Mytilus edulis: one gene and its partner. The protein of the gene in region 1 binds, or shares a complex with, the protein of each later gene. Links are inferred from orthologs where the notes say so. Each region holds a gene or a part of one and is shown on either strand. Other genes may lie near its edges.

Region 1 (8,019 bases):
ATTAATAACTTAAAAATAATATTTAGGTAACATTTATAATGATACAAGATAAAGAGAAAAAAATCCTGGGGTGTTCAGTGGTGGAAAGACCTACCTTCTACATAGTATGTCCTTATTATCTACAAAGTTTCATGAAATTCTGTTGCATGGTTTCAGAGGAGTTGCGATGACAAACTGTTGCAGTAGTATATTGAAGCAAATAAATTCAAAGGGGCATAACTCCTAGAAAACAATTAATCGTAATTTCCTGTCGATATGCACATCTATATAGTATGTCCTTATTATCTAAAAAGATTTCATGAAATTCTGTTGAGTGGTTTCAGAAGAGTTGCGATGACAAACTGGTGTAGTATATTGAAGCAAATAAGTTCAAAGGGGTGTAACTCCTAGCAAAAAATTGAATCATAATTTCCTGTCAATATGCACATCTACTTATTATGTCCTTATGTAACATAAAATATTGTCCTCCATGATATATTGTCTGTCGGACAAATTTTCATATAAAATATTGTCCACTGACAGTATTTCATAATGAAATATTGTCTTGGACACAATATTTCATTATGAAATAGTGTCCTTATCCATGACATTTTGTCACCTCCTTCGGGACAATATTTCACTATGAAATTCTGTTCATGACAATACTTCACTATGAAATACTGGCTTTGAAAATATTTTTTAATCAAATTATTTCACAATTAGAAATAGTTCACATTGAGCATGCACATTTTTAGATTTATAACCGAAATTGTTTTGTATAGTAGAGAATTTATATGATTGTTAATAGTGAGTTTCAAATTTGCATAGATACATGTACATTACAAATGGTTAATTATAGATTAAAGTATTGTCTAACAAAAGTTTCATTTTATTACATTAAACTGTACAAATATAAGTTATGTACTGACAATCGCTTATTTTGTAAATATAAACACAGGTATGTGTCGCAGAAAAAAATCCTATTTACCTTCTCTAACATAAATATATGTTGATAACCTCCCTTTCATGAGACAAAATTTAATGACAATCTGTCTATGAAATATTGTCTCAATACTCATAAAATATAACCAAAATATATATAACCTCCCATTAACAGGACACAATTTCGTAGTATTTATCTATGAAATATTGTATTAATTCACACATTGATATTGATATGATGGGCTACGCTAATTACTAAATTTTACCTGGGGAAAAGATTATGACTTTGTTTACCACCCCAAGCTAATCAATGGTTACAACTGGTGTCATAATCTGTTGTTATAGGTAATCCGTTTATCGGATGGGTCATTAATGATCATCAAGATTAATTCGTTCAAATAGAATCGGTCAGTCGGCAATTATCTTTGAAGAAATGTGCATACAACAACTTGGGCACAATTTGCGATGTTTACCGTAGTTTCATGGAAGAAACGTAATGACAGAAAGTTGGAAAACCATTATAAACTCGTTGAAGACATTGTTTTACTTGTTTTCTGTAAAATAAACAGAAAATTCAGACGTATTTGTCATTGACTGCCTTCATTTTTGATACGAAAATATCAAAATCGGCCGCCATATTGTGATCATATTTACATCATATTTACGTACTGTTTATAATCCTCCAAAGAAGGAGCACACCCGAATAAAGAAAGATAACTCAATCTGATTTTTTTCCTAGCATTGAGTAACCCATTTACATATTCTAAAATGTGTCTCCATACTTCTTGCTTAAGAATATATATGTTTAGGTATTTATTTTGAGTTATGGGAAAAGTTAAAGAGGGTCTTAGCAGCAGTGTTGGTAGGGTGCCTTGGTCATCTTTTTCTGTATTCTTTATTTTTGATACTATTTTTCACTGTTGCTTTATATCCTTAAATTGTGAATTTACTGAGCACAGCTGTTTTGTGCTGTATTGCCATCAAGCACAGCAGGGGTAGAAAGGTGAAACTGGTCAAATGTGGTAGACCATAGAAACAGTATGAAACAGATCTCCTTTCAAAACATACTGCATATAAAGTTCAACTGTGCCAAGCAATGATAAAAAAAACTTGTGTGACAAGCTGCTTGACAAGTTTTTCAGCCTTAAAAGTAGAAAGATAGAGTTCTATATGGGCTAAAGATGTTGTTCTTGTATAACCTGTGATTCAACGAATAAACACAAATGTTTGATTAACATCTTTTATTAAAATATGCCCTTTTCATATTATGATATCGCGCGTTAAATGCCCTTTTTCAGGATTGGCACCCTGCCCTTTTGAAAACCTAGCTGGAACACTGGATTTCACTATGCAAATTTGTCCTTCTCTGGACATTTTTCCATAGACGAGGACAATATTTCATGATACATAGTTATGAAATATTGTCTTGTACAATATTTCATAGGACAATATTTTGCTTTACACTTACAAATGTATGACATGTATTATCTAAAAAGGTTTCAAGAAATTCTGAATTTCTGATGTGTGGTTTTAGAGGAGTTGCAATGACAAGAAACAGGACTGACAGACCGAGTCGGTGACTGACAGACAGACTGGTCAAAAACATTATACCCTTCACAACTTCGTTGCATGGAGTATGATTATCACAAGGACCTACGAACTGTAGTCTGTACCCTTGCAGATCTATAAAGAGGGTGTTCAGATAAATTCATTATTAATTGAGGGATCAACATACATTTGAATGCATTTTTAATGTTGCAAAAATCACGATCAAATACTAATACTCTTTCACAAATATTAAACACCTGCCTTATATTATCGATATATTTATATCAATACAGTTTCAATAACGACAAAAATGTGGACACACATTCATGCAATAACAAAATATTTGGTGCATGTCTGAGGATGTTTGATGCCAGACCTTTTGAAGATAACACTGAACATGTTTATTTACCCTCAGGAAGGCCTGTTATTTTACAACAAAGTTTCTGTAACAATAATGTCTCAGTTTCATTTGTGCCCCTCCTATCCATAGCACAAAAAGTGCCAGATATTGACCATTTGCAAGAGGATTGTTTTGCCGCGCTACGGGCAATGCGCATGAAATGTAAAGTTATTTTGTATTTTCGAATGAAAAGAAAGAAAAAGGAAAATTTTAATTTCACCAAATTTGTTTAAAATAATCTTTTTAAATGAGCAACGAATCATAGAAAATTGTGAGCAAAATAATGATACGAAACTATCCGAAAAAATTGTGAAGGGGTGGTCTCAAAATACAAAATGAACCGTATTCATATAAAGGAACATTTCTATATGTGAGTTCGTGGTCTAGTGGTTTTAAGACCGATGGCTACAGTGCTGAAGGTCCCGAGTTCGATTCTCACTCGGGGTGCTAAAAATATCAGTACATCAGAAGGGTAATTTTCACCCTCTCACACACATCTCTGGTACCCAGACCGGAGTTTAAACTAGAATGGGTACTTTGGGGGCCTCGGTTGGTCAAAGTTGTTCCCTACTTTGACCTGGAGATCAATCTTCTGATATCTCTCTGGTTTGTCTGTTTCCACCGAGCGGCCCGGTGGTTCTCTCCGAGTACTTCGGCTTCCTCCATCATAATAACAGACTTCCCGGTGTCCTACACGCTCCCTTGGGCGGTGTTGGGTGGGGATTGTTCTGGTGGGATAATATTGTAAAGGACACATCTCCATTAATCCTTAGGGAGTGTACATGGATCCGCTGTACCCTTGCAGTCAATCAAGGGGTGCGTCTTAATTGGCGGAATCTCAGTACATACATACATACATACATACATACATACATACATACATACATACATACATACATACATACATACATACATACATACATACATACATACATACATACATACATACATACATACATACATACATACATACATACATACATACATACATACATACATACATACATACATACATACATACATACATACATACATACATACATACATACATACATACATACATACATACATACATACATACATACATACATACATACATACATACATACATACATACATACATACATACATACATACATACATACATACATACATACATACATACATACATACATACATACATACATACATACATACATACTTTTTGTAGGTTGGGTGAGGTTTCGCGCTTTTAAAAACGTTTAAACCCGCTGAATTTGTTTGTATCTGTCCTAAATCCGATTGCAGGAATCTACATATTGTTCATTGGTAGTCGTTTGTTGATGTGGTACTTACTGTTTCTCGTTTCTTGCTTTTTATATAGATTAGATAGAGGGGGCAATATGGGATCCATTAACATGTTAACTTAGGCGCGGATCCAGGGGGAGGGGTCCGGTGGTTGGAATCCCTTTTTTTTGGACGATCAATGCATTTGATGGGGACATATAGTTGCTGGATCCGCCCCTGTAACAACACCTCGATTTTGAGAAAAACAGTTAACAACAAATGCAAAAGTGCCGATAACAGTTAACACAGTGGGTTGAAAACGCTTAACAGTTTAAATTTATCTCAGATAACAGTTTACAACACAGCCTTGAACAAGAATGTGTCCTCAGTACACGAATGCCCCACTCGCACTATCATTTTCCATGTTCAGTGGACCGTGAAATTGGGGTAAAAACTCTAATTTGGCATTAAAATTAGAAAGATCATATCATAGGGAACATGTGTACTAAGTTTGAAGTCGATTGGACTTCAACTTCATCAAAAACTACCTTGACCAAAAACTTTAACCTGGAGCGGGACAGACGGACGAACGGACGGACGGACGAACGGACGCACAGACCAGAAAACATAATGCCCCTCTACTATCGTAGGTGGGGCATAAAAAGACCAAAACTGGCCAAGTTAACATAAAAAGGAATTGCCCCCCCCCCCCCTTTTCCCCATTCGACCGTGGCCCGGGTTTTTTTTCAGATTGAATTGTTTTGGGAAATAGGTCAAAGAGACCAACAACCGGCCAAATATACACATGCTTCCAACACTCTGGTTTGTCTGTTTCTCAGGAGTTTTAAAAATGCTTTAACTTAGAATATATGCTTATCATTGAAAAAAACGTACTTCGCAAACGTGTCGACAGAAAAGAAATACACACTGTACGAAGGTTCAAGAGGAACATCCCAATAAAAAAAAAGATATCAACAATAGGGAACGAAAAGGGGTCTCTTGTAAAAAGTAAAGTATATGGTTTCACGTGTGAAACTGTAATTTAAATCAAGAAAAAGACAATGACAGTCGTTTCTGTGCATGCATGTGTAGTGTAGTTTTTGTGGTAAATAGTAAGTATATAATTTTTATTCAAAGCAGAAACAATACTTACTAGAAGCCTGTATAAAACGATATTTGACAGTTTTTGTTTTGTTTGTGCTGCCAATACATATTAGGGACCTGGTCTGAAACGTGCAAAAATTAAACGAAAATAAAATATATCAAGCAGTTTTTTTTTCTTTTCTCATTTGCATTGTTCCAGTTTCTTTACTTTTCTATGTAGTGTTTTGTGAACTAGTTTGTCTTTCGACGTCTTTCATTTGTTTTTGTTTATAATTCATATCAAAGTATTGTTAGCTGTTCTTAATTATCAATAAAATTTATTTTTTATGTAGCTCCTCGACGGTCTGAAATTTGTACACATTAAGGTCGTGTCCGGTCTTGATGTTAATATTGATTATATAATGTCACGTCCTCGAAGATGGGAATCACTTATAATTTCTGAGAATAACTTATTAACTGGTTCTAAAATAAAATACAGCTTGACGATGGTATCCGGTCGTGTTATGATACATAATAATTGCATGGGTATATAGTCTTATTTTCGTGGTTGGTTTCTCAGGACTTATCTAACCACCATTCAAATAATCTGATAAAAAGTGCGAGTAACTGAGGATGGTATGTTGTTACAGGTTTCAATAGCTCTTTGTGTGTATGAATATTTGTCTGATTTGAAGTCTTGAGTGTGTCTTGTACAAGTTATATATATTTGTGGTCTCTTGTTGTTGAATTTTCTCTAGTTCTAAAAATAATTGGATACGTCTCTTAATACTTACCGGTAAGGATAGAGCTCAATCATATTTCCTTTCATTTATTTGCTTATTTTGCTATTTTTTATTTTCTATTTTCTGATTTTCTGATTAACTGTAAATATCAATGTTCCGCGTGTCACCCCATTTTCCAAATTAAATGAAAATATCGCAAAAAAAAGTGAGAAACGATGACATGCGATTTCAGTTAAAATTGGTAATTTTATTGTTCGTAATTGCTGTTCATATGTCATTTGTGAAAAAAAATAGTTGTTGTATACTAGCTCTCTCCTTTTGGGCATTTTAGTTCGATTTTTTTTTTATGATAAAATGCTTATATATAGATATAGAAAGATGTGTTCGACTTCTTTTTTATAACCACATAGTATCCCCCCTTTTTTATAAGTTGTTACAATTCAGTATTTAGCCGCAGTTATCCACATATACTCTTTGTTGTTTTATAAGGTATTTTGTTTTTATAATACCGTTCGCGACCTTTTTCTGGAATCAGATTTCACATCTTGTCTGATGACTCACTTTCCTTTCAAACTTATTAAGATGATTCTTTGACATATCTAATAATGAGGGGAGGATGGTTTTGTTGCTTTAATTCTTCCATTTTCCCTATTTTCCTCTGTCATGTAATGGTATCTGGTAGGTTTTTTTGTGTTTTTTTTTGTGTGTACTCATTTCTGATATATCTGGTATGGTTAGGCCTACGGAAACTGGATGGATGGTTTTTAACTGTTATCCAAGATGTTCTCTTACGGGTTTTGCAATTAATAATTTTGAGTATAATTATTTAAAGGAATTGTATATTTAAATATGCAATTCCTGGATGGATACTGCATACTCGGTGTTTTGAAACGGTCCCTAAAGCAGACGTCTCTGTTCGTTCGGAAGTTCTCTAGATATTTCTACCTAATTGTACACGAAGTGAAAGCAAAACAGGACGTAACAAAAATATGTTGTTTACCTTTAGAAGTGGAAAGCCCAAAGTAGGCTAGAGGTGTATTTGAAATTTGGACAGTAAAGTTTTTACATGGGTGCGGGTGTTACGTGAAAGAATGAATGATTGCTTTGTAAGTATCACACTGTTTATATTTATGAACAATTAGAAGTTGGAACAGTTTGAAAATTCACAAAATATGAAAAACTGAAAAACTAAAAAAAAGTCCACCAGATAAGTTATTGCCGGTACATGTATCTCTCAAACATGGGATACTTTTCAGTGTAATATTTTGATTTATATGTTTTGATTTTGAATCCATAGACAATATTGCTAGTTAGTTACGAATCAGGTGGCTTATCCGATCCCTAGTCCTGTTTCGCAATACCATATATAATCAGTTGTTTTGCAAGGATTCCAAATTTTCCTCGGTGGTGCCATGGGAAGATTGACTATCAGTATATTATAGAACTTCCGTGGGCGATATATGGATAGTCAACCTTCCCCTGGATAGAAACAAGTGCCTGTGAAATTACAAATTTATGTATATGATGAGCAATTGGTACATGTATGTGTGTGTATGACATGTTACGTACAGTATAAGGTGTGTTGTGTTACCAAGAGATAATTAATATATATGCTGTTGCTGTGGTTCTGCTAACTTATCAACATGCATCAGTAAATGAGTTAAGTATAGTTATCCTGTACCATAATTGCAAACTTCGCACCAATGTCAACTCATACCACTGAAAGCAAACTCGGACTGCAGTATTAAAATTCATATAATTGCAAACTCATATCAACTTATTTACTGCACTCAAATCATCATTAGTGGTGTTGAATGATGAATATATATATCTTCATTTAATTGAATATCTCACAAATGTCTCAAAAGGGATTAAAAGTATATGATTTGAAAGTCACAATACCCAATTTATAAAATGATTGTTCCTTGGCTTATAATTGAATGAAGAAGAGAAAGTTTGATTTGATATGTTGTTTTTTTTGTGTTGATAACCCACCAAAAGTTTGATTATATCTCGACTAGTTAGGCTTTATATCACAACAAAGTCAAAGAATGAGTT
Region 2 (7,640 bases), about 7.2 Mb from region 1:
ACTATAAAAGATAGTTTACTTTAGTGTTGTTCAAATATTATTGAATCTAAAAATGTACATGTATACAAAATAAATGAAACAACCATCATTTACATGTCATGTATGTAAAACATGCAGCAATATTGCTTCTTAGAGCTCTCTTTTTGCTGCATGGACATGTGTGTCCACAACAGCTGTGCCTGAATGACACATATATGTCCATTTAAAATTTATGCAAGCTTCATGTAATCATTGCTTTATCTTTGACTTAAAAAAAATACCAACATGACCAAAGATAGTACAGTGTAATATTTTCTTTAATGTGTTTCCAATGTAACGACATTCAGGTGTCATATTTTGGGGTACATGACAACTTGTACTTTCAGCAACTTGTAATTTTTGAAATACTAAGGCTTTTCTACCTCAGGCATAGATTACCTTAGCTGGATTTGGCAAAACTTTTAGGAATTTTGGTCCTCAATGCTCTTCAACTTCGTACTTTATTTGGCCTTTTTTTACTTTTTTTGGATTCGAGCGTCACTGATGAGTCTTTTGAAGACGAAACGCGAGTCTGTCGTATACATGTATACAAAATTTAGTCCTGGTATCTATGATGAGTTTATTTGTACCCTTATTTAACCAACTCATACCCATGATTTATTTGATATTATTTACATCTATATACATACATGAAGTTCACAATGTATTGTAACTTTCTTTCATAAACATTGCATCATACTATATAGCAACATATGAATAAAAAACTTTCATTGCTAATTTGATGCGATCATAATTCTTTCAAATATATCAAAACAAATCAAATGCTAATCTTTAATCATTAGTCCTTATATTTTTTTATTATTTTAAATTGTTTAAACAGCAATTTATTTGATATGCATATTAAATAATTATGAGCACACAATATACTAATCTGTGGTCATTAGTGGATGGTAGACCTACAATAAGAGGATGGATTTGATTAAAGAAGAAAAAAACATAAAGAAGTATATGAAAACCAAAAATTGGTATTAATGCTGCACTTTGAACATCAAAATCTGTTGAGTTATACTTGAACAATCACCATCCTCACTGAAAAGAAAATGCATGGCTTAAACATTGTAAAAACCAAGCTTTGGGAAAAAATGTATAAACTACGATGAAATGTGTGATCTTCTTCATTTGCAATCATAGTTCGTTTGTATGCAAGAAGACGGTTATGTCTCATCAAGATGTTCTACAATGTGACACATTTGACAACTGGCAGCATCATCTTTGTGAAACAGGTATGTTGATTTATGTTAGTTTTATTTTTTGTAGAAATTAAGCCCACAGTTTAAACTTTAAACATGCTTTTATCACTGTAATTTTGCTGTTAATTTGCAATTAAACATGTACACTAATCTCACACAAGGACCGTTTCCTAAATGTATTATTGATGGTGAGATGTTTATAAATTATGATAGTATTGTATTGTAAAATAAATTTTGAAAGCGGATCACGAGTTAAACCAGGTAATATCGATGTAGAGACCAGAAAATCTTTGTATTGTGCTACCTGTAAATGTTAAAATTGAAAACGAGCCACCCTTGTCCTCCAATTTTATATGTGCTAGCTGTTGGTTTAAACTATTATAGGATTTAACACCTTTTAAAAGTAATTTATTGGTGTATAAACTCGACCAATTCAAGTTTATGCACCAATAAATTCCTTTAAAAAATGTTTAATCCTTACAATTCTTTAAAATTGGAGATATGTTTTTCCACACTTTTTACCTCTACCACACGTAAATTGTATATTTATGTCATTGAATAGGCCTGGTGCATGAATATATTTGCTGGTAAATGCAAAAATATGTCCTCAATGAAATTTCCTATCTGATAAAAAGTAAACTGCACAGACTCTTATTATCATTCAAACTAATGATTTTGTGTATTATTTCATTTAATGATATTAACGTGCAGTGAAAATAAATTTGTCAACATCTGTGTACCATCTTGTTTACATTGGTTAAGAAAAGAAGTTTGGTCAACTTTGTCTATCGAAAAATAATCAATGTCAAGATTAACTACCGGAAGTCCTCTCGACTAATCATATCAACCTGAGACTACTATAACACATATTAAAGTAGTCTCAGTATCAACGTATTCCCTAATATGCAGATCATATAAGAATTATTAACACAGATAAGTTCATAAAAATCATTTTAAATTTAGTGTGTACATCGAACATGGCGGCCATTGTGATTTCCGTGGTCACCATATTGGATGTACACACTGAATTTAAAGTTTTTATGAACTTATCTGTCTTCTGTAAATCATTGATGAGTTATAAAATACATCGATAATATACTATTATTTAATAATCAATGTTTAAAAGTCACCAATATGTGTTAATATGGGGACGAAGTCCCCAATAACAGTAGAAAATTCAATAAAAAAAAAATTCTGGAAAATTTCCCGAATTTTTCATTGTACTAATGAACTCAAAATCGTTCAAATTTTTTTTGTCGTGTTTTGAAATCCGGGACCTGCGCAGAAATGTACAATGTACTTCCTTTTTCCGGTCTCGTTTGTATGAAACTTTGAGTAAAATATATATTTATCAGTCTAGTATAAAATAGGAAGGAACGCGCAATACCAATTTCATTTTTAATAATTCCTTGATATGAAAAAACGTTACCTGATGATAGCGTTTCTTTGTTTACATTGCATATGACGTCATAATTTAAATAACGTCACAACTAAAATCCCTAACAACAGAACCAAAATCGGAAACGTTACGGTATTTACGTTTCTTTTTTTTTAACAAATTATTAGTTACAAAAAAATAATTCATACAGACTTCGTCCCCATTTACAGGTAATGCCTGCCTCATATTATTAAAATTTCAAGTGTTATTCGGTCATTACAAGTGTTATTCAGTCATTCGAGGTACCGTTGTTATTGAATGAATTACTCTATTTGGCAGCGCACATCAGCAGAATGTTACGAGTGCCAGGACTTTTCGGGTAACTATGCACATATGAACGATAACAACTTGTCTGTTTGTAATTTTCTGTGAACACGAAAATGACCGAAAAGTGTCAGTGATTTAATCCAGTGCTCTAGCTAGAAATCAAAAGGGGCAGGGTGCCAGTGGAGGGCAGGGCACTTTTTATGATAAGAAAAGGCACTGCTAATTTTTTTGTCTACGTTTCTGTGTGTATCACGAGTTAACCAATCTCTTTTTTTTTACTGTATTTGTTGTTTTTTTTAAATAAAAATGCATTTTAACTATAGTCTTTATTTCATTGTTTGTGTAGTTATGAATAATATAGTACATCTTCATCAACATATTATGTTTTTATAGTTTTTCACTCTACCCACTGTCAAAGAATATTTTTTTTTATCTGTATAAAAATTTTAGCTTTTTATACAAAAGATCTTTTATGTTTTTGTGTATTACTAATTTATCAATGTTTAGAACATGGATTGCTAAAAGTATAATTATCAAACAGAAATTGCAATATATTTTTTTTAATATGTTCAAAGACAGTTAATATCCTTAAGGTAACATTATTATGTTATTATATATTCAATTGGTTCTTTATTCCTTTTTTTGATACTAGATAATATTTTTAGAGCACAAATTTGTAATAAGCTAAAACAGGGGAAGTAACTCCAAAATTAATTTCCAACAGGTTTGCGTCAATTAAAAACTGTGCTTGTCGCTAACAAGTTGAGATGGAATGCATTTCTGTGAAGGCATAGTTTTATTTTGATGACTTAAATTCAATTCTAAAGTCATGAAAGTCTTCATTTATACACTCTTCCATTGTGACTTGGAAATCGAAAATGCAGACCCAAGCTAAACACACTCCTGACACATTCATCAAATGTATGACAAAAAGATACATTGTCCTAATTAAATTACCTAGATATTAACACCTTTGAAGTCTTTATCATTGTAATTGATTGTAATGACATGATTAACCTGGGGGCAATCACACAGGTGTCATATATGTAATTAACTTGGAGATCAGAAATCGATGAAACAAAAGGCAATTTTACCAAAACGGCACAAGAGAATTTTGGAAAAAGACGTCAGGGCAGAAGGGCGCGGATGAAGGCACCCAGGGCGCGGCTAGAGGGCATCCAGGGCTCGGCGCCCTTCTATTTTGGGCTAGCGAGACCACTGTAATCTATCACTTGCGAGGATCAACTGCCATTCCCCATATAGTAAACTGATTAACGAGTATTCTTATTGGCGGTAATTACGCAGATGAAACATTTGAAATTGTGTTGTAGTTATTCCTTTCAATATTTCTTCCATGGGGATTGGCCGTATCGACTTTGACTATTGAATTTTGGGCCTAGCGACTTGGTTTGTGGTCGGAACGACCGGAAACTGTAACATTGTCATGCATCACAGGCGCTTAGGATTTGGCTTATTTCTCTTTTTGTTTGCACTGAATATTCAATTTTCTGTTTTTAAACAGCATACCCTACATAGTTTGTCTAAGTACCTTCTTTTCAGGTTGAAAAACAGTAAACAATATTTTTTTCTGCCACCCAAAACATTACAACTTCCGGTTTCATTCAAAGGAAGTGTTCACGGTATCCAATCAGAAAACTCTTAACAAATCAGGTTTTAAAGTTTGTTGCCAACAACAACTTGTACGGACTGCAACACATTTTCAAATATTATTAAGGATCAACACCTCCTACCATAGCATATATACGTACCAGTGTCAACATGGGGGTAAGAGAAAATTTTAAAACGAAATCATCGAAAGAAATCAAATGATTAGATAATAATTTTATTAGTTTAATCATGTTTGAACAGGACCAGGCAAATGCAGGAGCTCTGAAAGCAAATATAGTTTGCTTGATTTGCTTTGGTGTGTACTGTATTTAAATATAGACAGGTGCTATCTGATAAACTCTTGATCATCTTGTCGCCCCACGTAAAATGACTCGTCACATGTAAAATGACTCTTCATGTGCTCACATCCCACATCGAATTCTAGTCAAATCGGCACCTGGTTAAATCAGCATCTGGTCAAATTGGCACCTAGTCAATTTGGCACCTGGTTAAATCGGCACCTGATATTGTAATTTTGGCACCCGTATTAGATATGTTTAATATATGTTTTTTTTCAGTATTTTAAGCAAAAAGATGTTTTAACCGATTTAACCAGGTGTCGATTTGACTTTTTCTATGGGTGCCGATTTGACTTGTACACCCACAACAATCATGACTGTGACTTTCAATAAAAATACACAAACATCGTAGAGAGACAAGAAACTAGAAATAGCAGATCATACAAATTGATTGACTACAAAACAGACATCCGAAAGAACCCTTTTTTTCCCAAATCAATAGTCCAGTGGAACCATCTGGACAAGGATATTGAATGCCCAAAGTCAGTTGAGGGTTTCAGGCCTGCCCTCCTAGAGTTGGACTAACCAACCAGCTCTCCTTCCAATGCGCATATATCCGTGATCGGATCCTGCACTGTGTAACATACATATACAGACAGAACAATCCAATTTTCCAGCCGAAAGTTGGGAGCGGAAAGTTGGTTGCATTCACCAGTTAAATCTAAAATCAGACCCTTCAAATTCTGAACATAATTCAGAACCAAATGACATTTTGGTAACAAGACAATATGAAATCTAGTCACGTTAACTTAGCACCTGGTATAATCAAAACCTGGATATAGTCAATTTAGCATCCCATAATTTATTAACCTTTATATCATGTATATTATATTGTTTATTTAGGAAGAAGACCGTTATTGTTTCATTGCTGAATGGTATGACCCACATGCAGCCTTCATACGCAGATATCAGTTTATGTATTATGTCAAAGATCAAACAGCAGAAATGGTAATACCATAAAAGGTCCATTACATTAAATGTTTTACCAGTTTGATAGCTGGAAATAATAAAATTTAAAATGAAAAGTTGTTTCTTAAATTCAATGATTTTTTTTAAGATTACAAAAAAGAATATGTTAAATTCAATTCATCATTTCTAGTGTTTAAAATCTTAATTTTCACAAGATAGAAATAAAATTCAAAGTAGACCAGCTGGTAGTTAGAGGGTAATATCAATTATGCCCATTAGCTATTACATTCTTATAAATTATTCATTGGGGACATCAACATTTATAATTCAACACAAATCTTTAGTGTTTATCCTGTAAAAAAATTCTCACACTTACAAATGTATAATATGATAAATTTAAATGTTACACCTAATAACTTGAATAATACATTTGATATGTTATGACAAAGTTTTATATCCATTTGCAATACATATATATATATATGATGTTATATCTTTCAGTTTGACATTAAAAATCACAGAGTATTTCTGAAGAAGACAAAAGTTAGTGACTGTTTACGGCTAGAAGATTTATATATTGGTAGTACAGTAAACATCTTGTCTAGACAGCTGAAATTTGTAGATTATGGAGATGATTACACTAGGACCAGATTTTCTCATAAAAAAGAAAGGTTTGTAGAAATAAAATTAGTATATAAAGCAGTTACTTATACTATATTTAACAGGAATACAGTTATTAATAGTCAAATTGTCATTAATAATCATAGTTTTCTTTGCATATTTCAATACTACTTTTCATATTCAAATTTTTAACTAATGTGAATTTCAGGATATACATGAAATAAAAAAAAATAAGATCTGTGCTGTATTGGATAATGAAGGATTGTGCGACATTACAATTTTTCAAACAACAAAATCCCAACATTGAAGTTTTGTTGTGCTGATTTTGAAATAAAATAAAGATCTGTATACATGCAGTTTACTTTCATGAGAGTTTGTGTTACTTTCTATTTGTAGAACTTTGGGTATCATAAAACCCGATTCCACAGCCAAAATGGGTCAAATATTAGATGTGATATATCAAAAAGGATTTATGATTACACAGTTAAAGATGTGTCAGCTGAATAGAAATGAAGCTTTCCAATTTTATCAAGAGCATCAGGGAAAACCATTTTTAGAGTGAGTACTAAAATTATCTGTGTGATTACCATTGTTGCAAATTAAGGTTACTTGAATATATAAAACTGGAAGTGAATCCTAAATCGTATACTGATTTTTTTACTGTTACAAATCTTTAATGATCACTATTTAAATTTAATTTGCACCTGAAAAATGTACTACCATAGATGAACTGTTATACCCCAGTAATACTTTTATTTCTCCATGAAAGAATTGATCTAGAACTTAAATTTACTTTTGTTTGGTAATGCTAATAATGCTAAAATTTAATCAATTGATGTAAATTAGATTTTTCATGAAAAATAAAGCATAAATAGAATTTGTTTTCAGAAGCAATTTAATAAACAAATGTTAAGAAAATATTGTACAAAGAACTCAATGTACCGAAGATGCTGAAATCAGCAAAGAAACCATGAAACAGACACGTATATGTTAAAAGAACACAACTGTTAAAGAAAATAAAATTTGAATAACAATTTTGTTAAACAATGAAACTTTTATCCACAAATAAAATGCAAGAGATCAAAGAAAGAGGAGTAAACAACTATAGGTTACCTTTTGGCCATCAACAATGATCATAGTGTTAAAGCTATTACAGGCCCTGGCAGGAAAAATGTGAAACAGTCTGAAAGAAAAAAAATTTAATAAAAA

Evidence for each region. Proteins that work in one complex are often made in the same cells at the same time.
Region 2: gamma-tubulin complex component 3 homolog (region 1) and nucleoside diphosphate kinase homolog 7-like share a complex: the UniProt entries of both Homo sapiens proteins name them as parts of the gamma-tubulin ring complex. The link is inferred for Mytilus edulis from reciprocal best matches to the Homo sapiens genes TUBGCP3 and NME7.

Annotation. Positions count from the first base shown.
Region 1 is NC_092346.1:89,141,848-89,149,866, reverse strand, and holds the start of gamma-tubulin complex component 3 homolog, read right to left. Parts: upstream 3,034-8,019; 5' UTR 3,027-3,033; coding exon 2,879-3,026; intron 1-2,878. Other genes in the region: phospholipid-transporting ATPase IF-like, read left to right, coding at 7,053-7,067. UniProt on the Homo sapiens protein: Component of the gamma-tubulin ring complex (gTuRC) which mediates microtubule nucleation.
Region 2 is NC_092346.1:81,916,389-81,924,028, forward strand, and holds the start of nucleoside diphosphate kinase homolog 7-like, read left to right. Parts: upstream 1-4,595; 5' UTR 4,596-4,713; coding exon 4,714-4,719; intron 4,720-5,744; coding exon 5,745-5,849; intron 5,850-6,311; coding exon 6,312-6,481; intron 6,482-6,827; coding exon 6,828-6,989; intron 6,990-7,640. UniProt on the Homo sapiens protein: Possesses an intrinsic kinase activity. Displays 3'-5' exonuclease activity with a preference for single-stranded DNA. Does not seem to have nucleoside diphosphate kinase activity.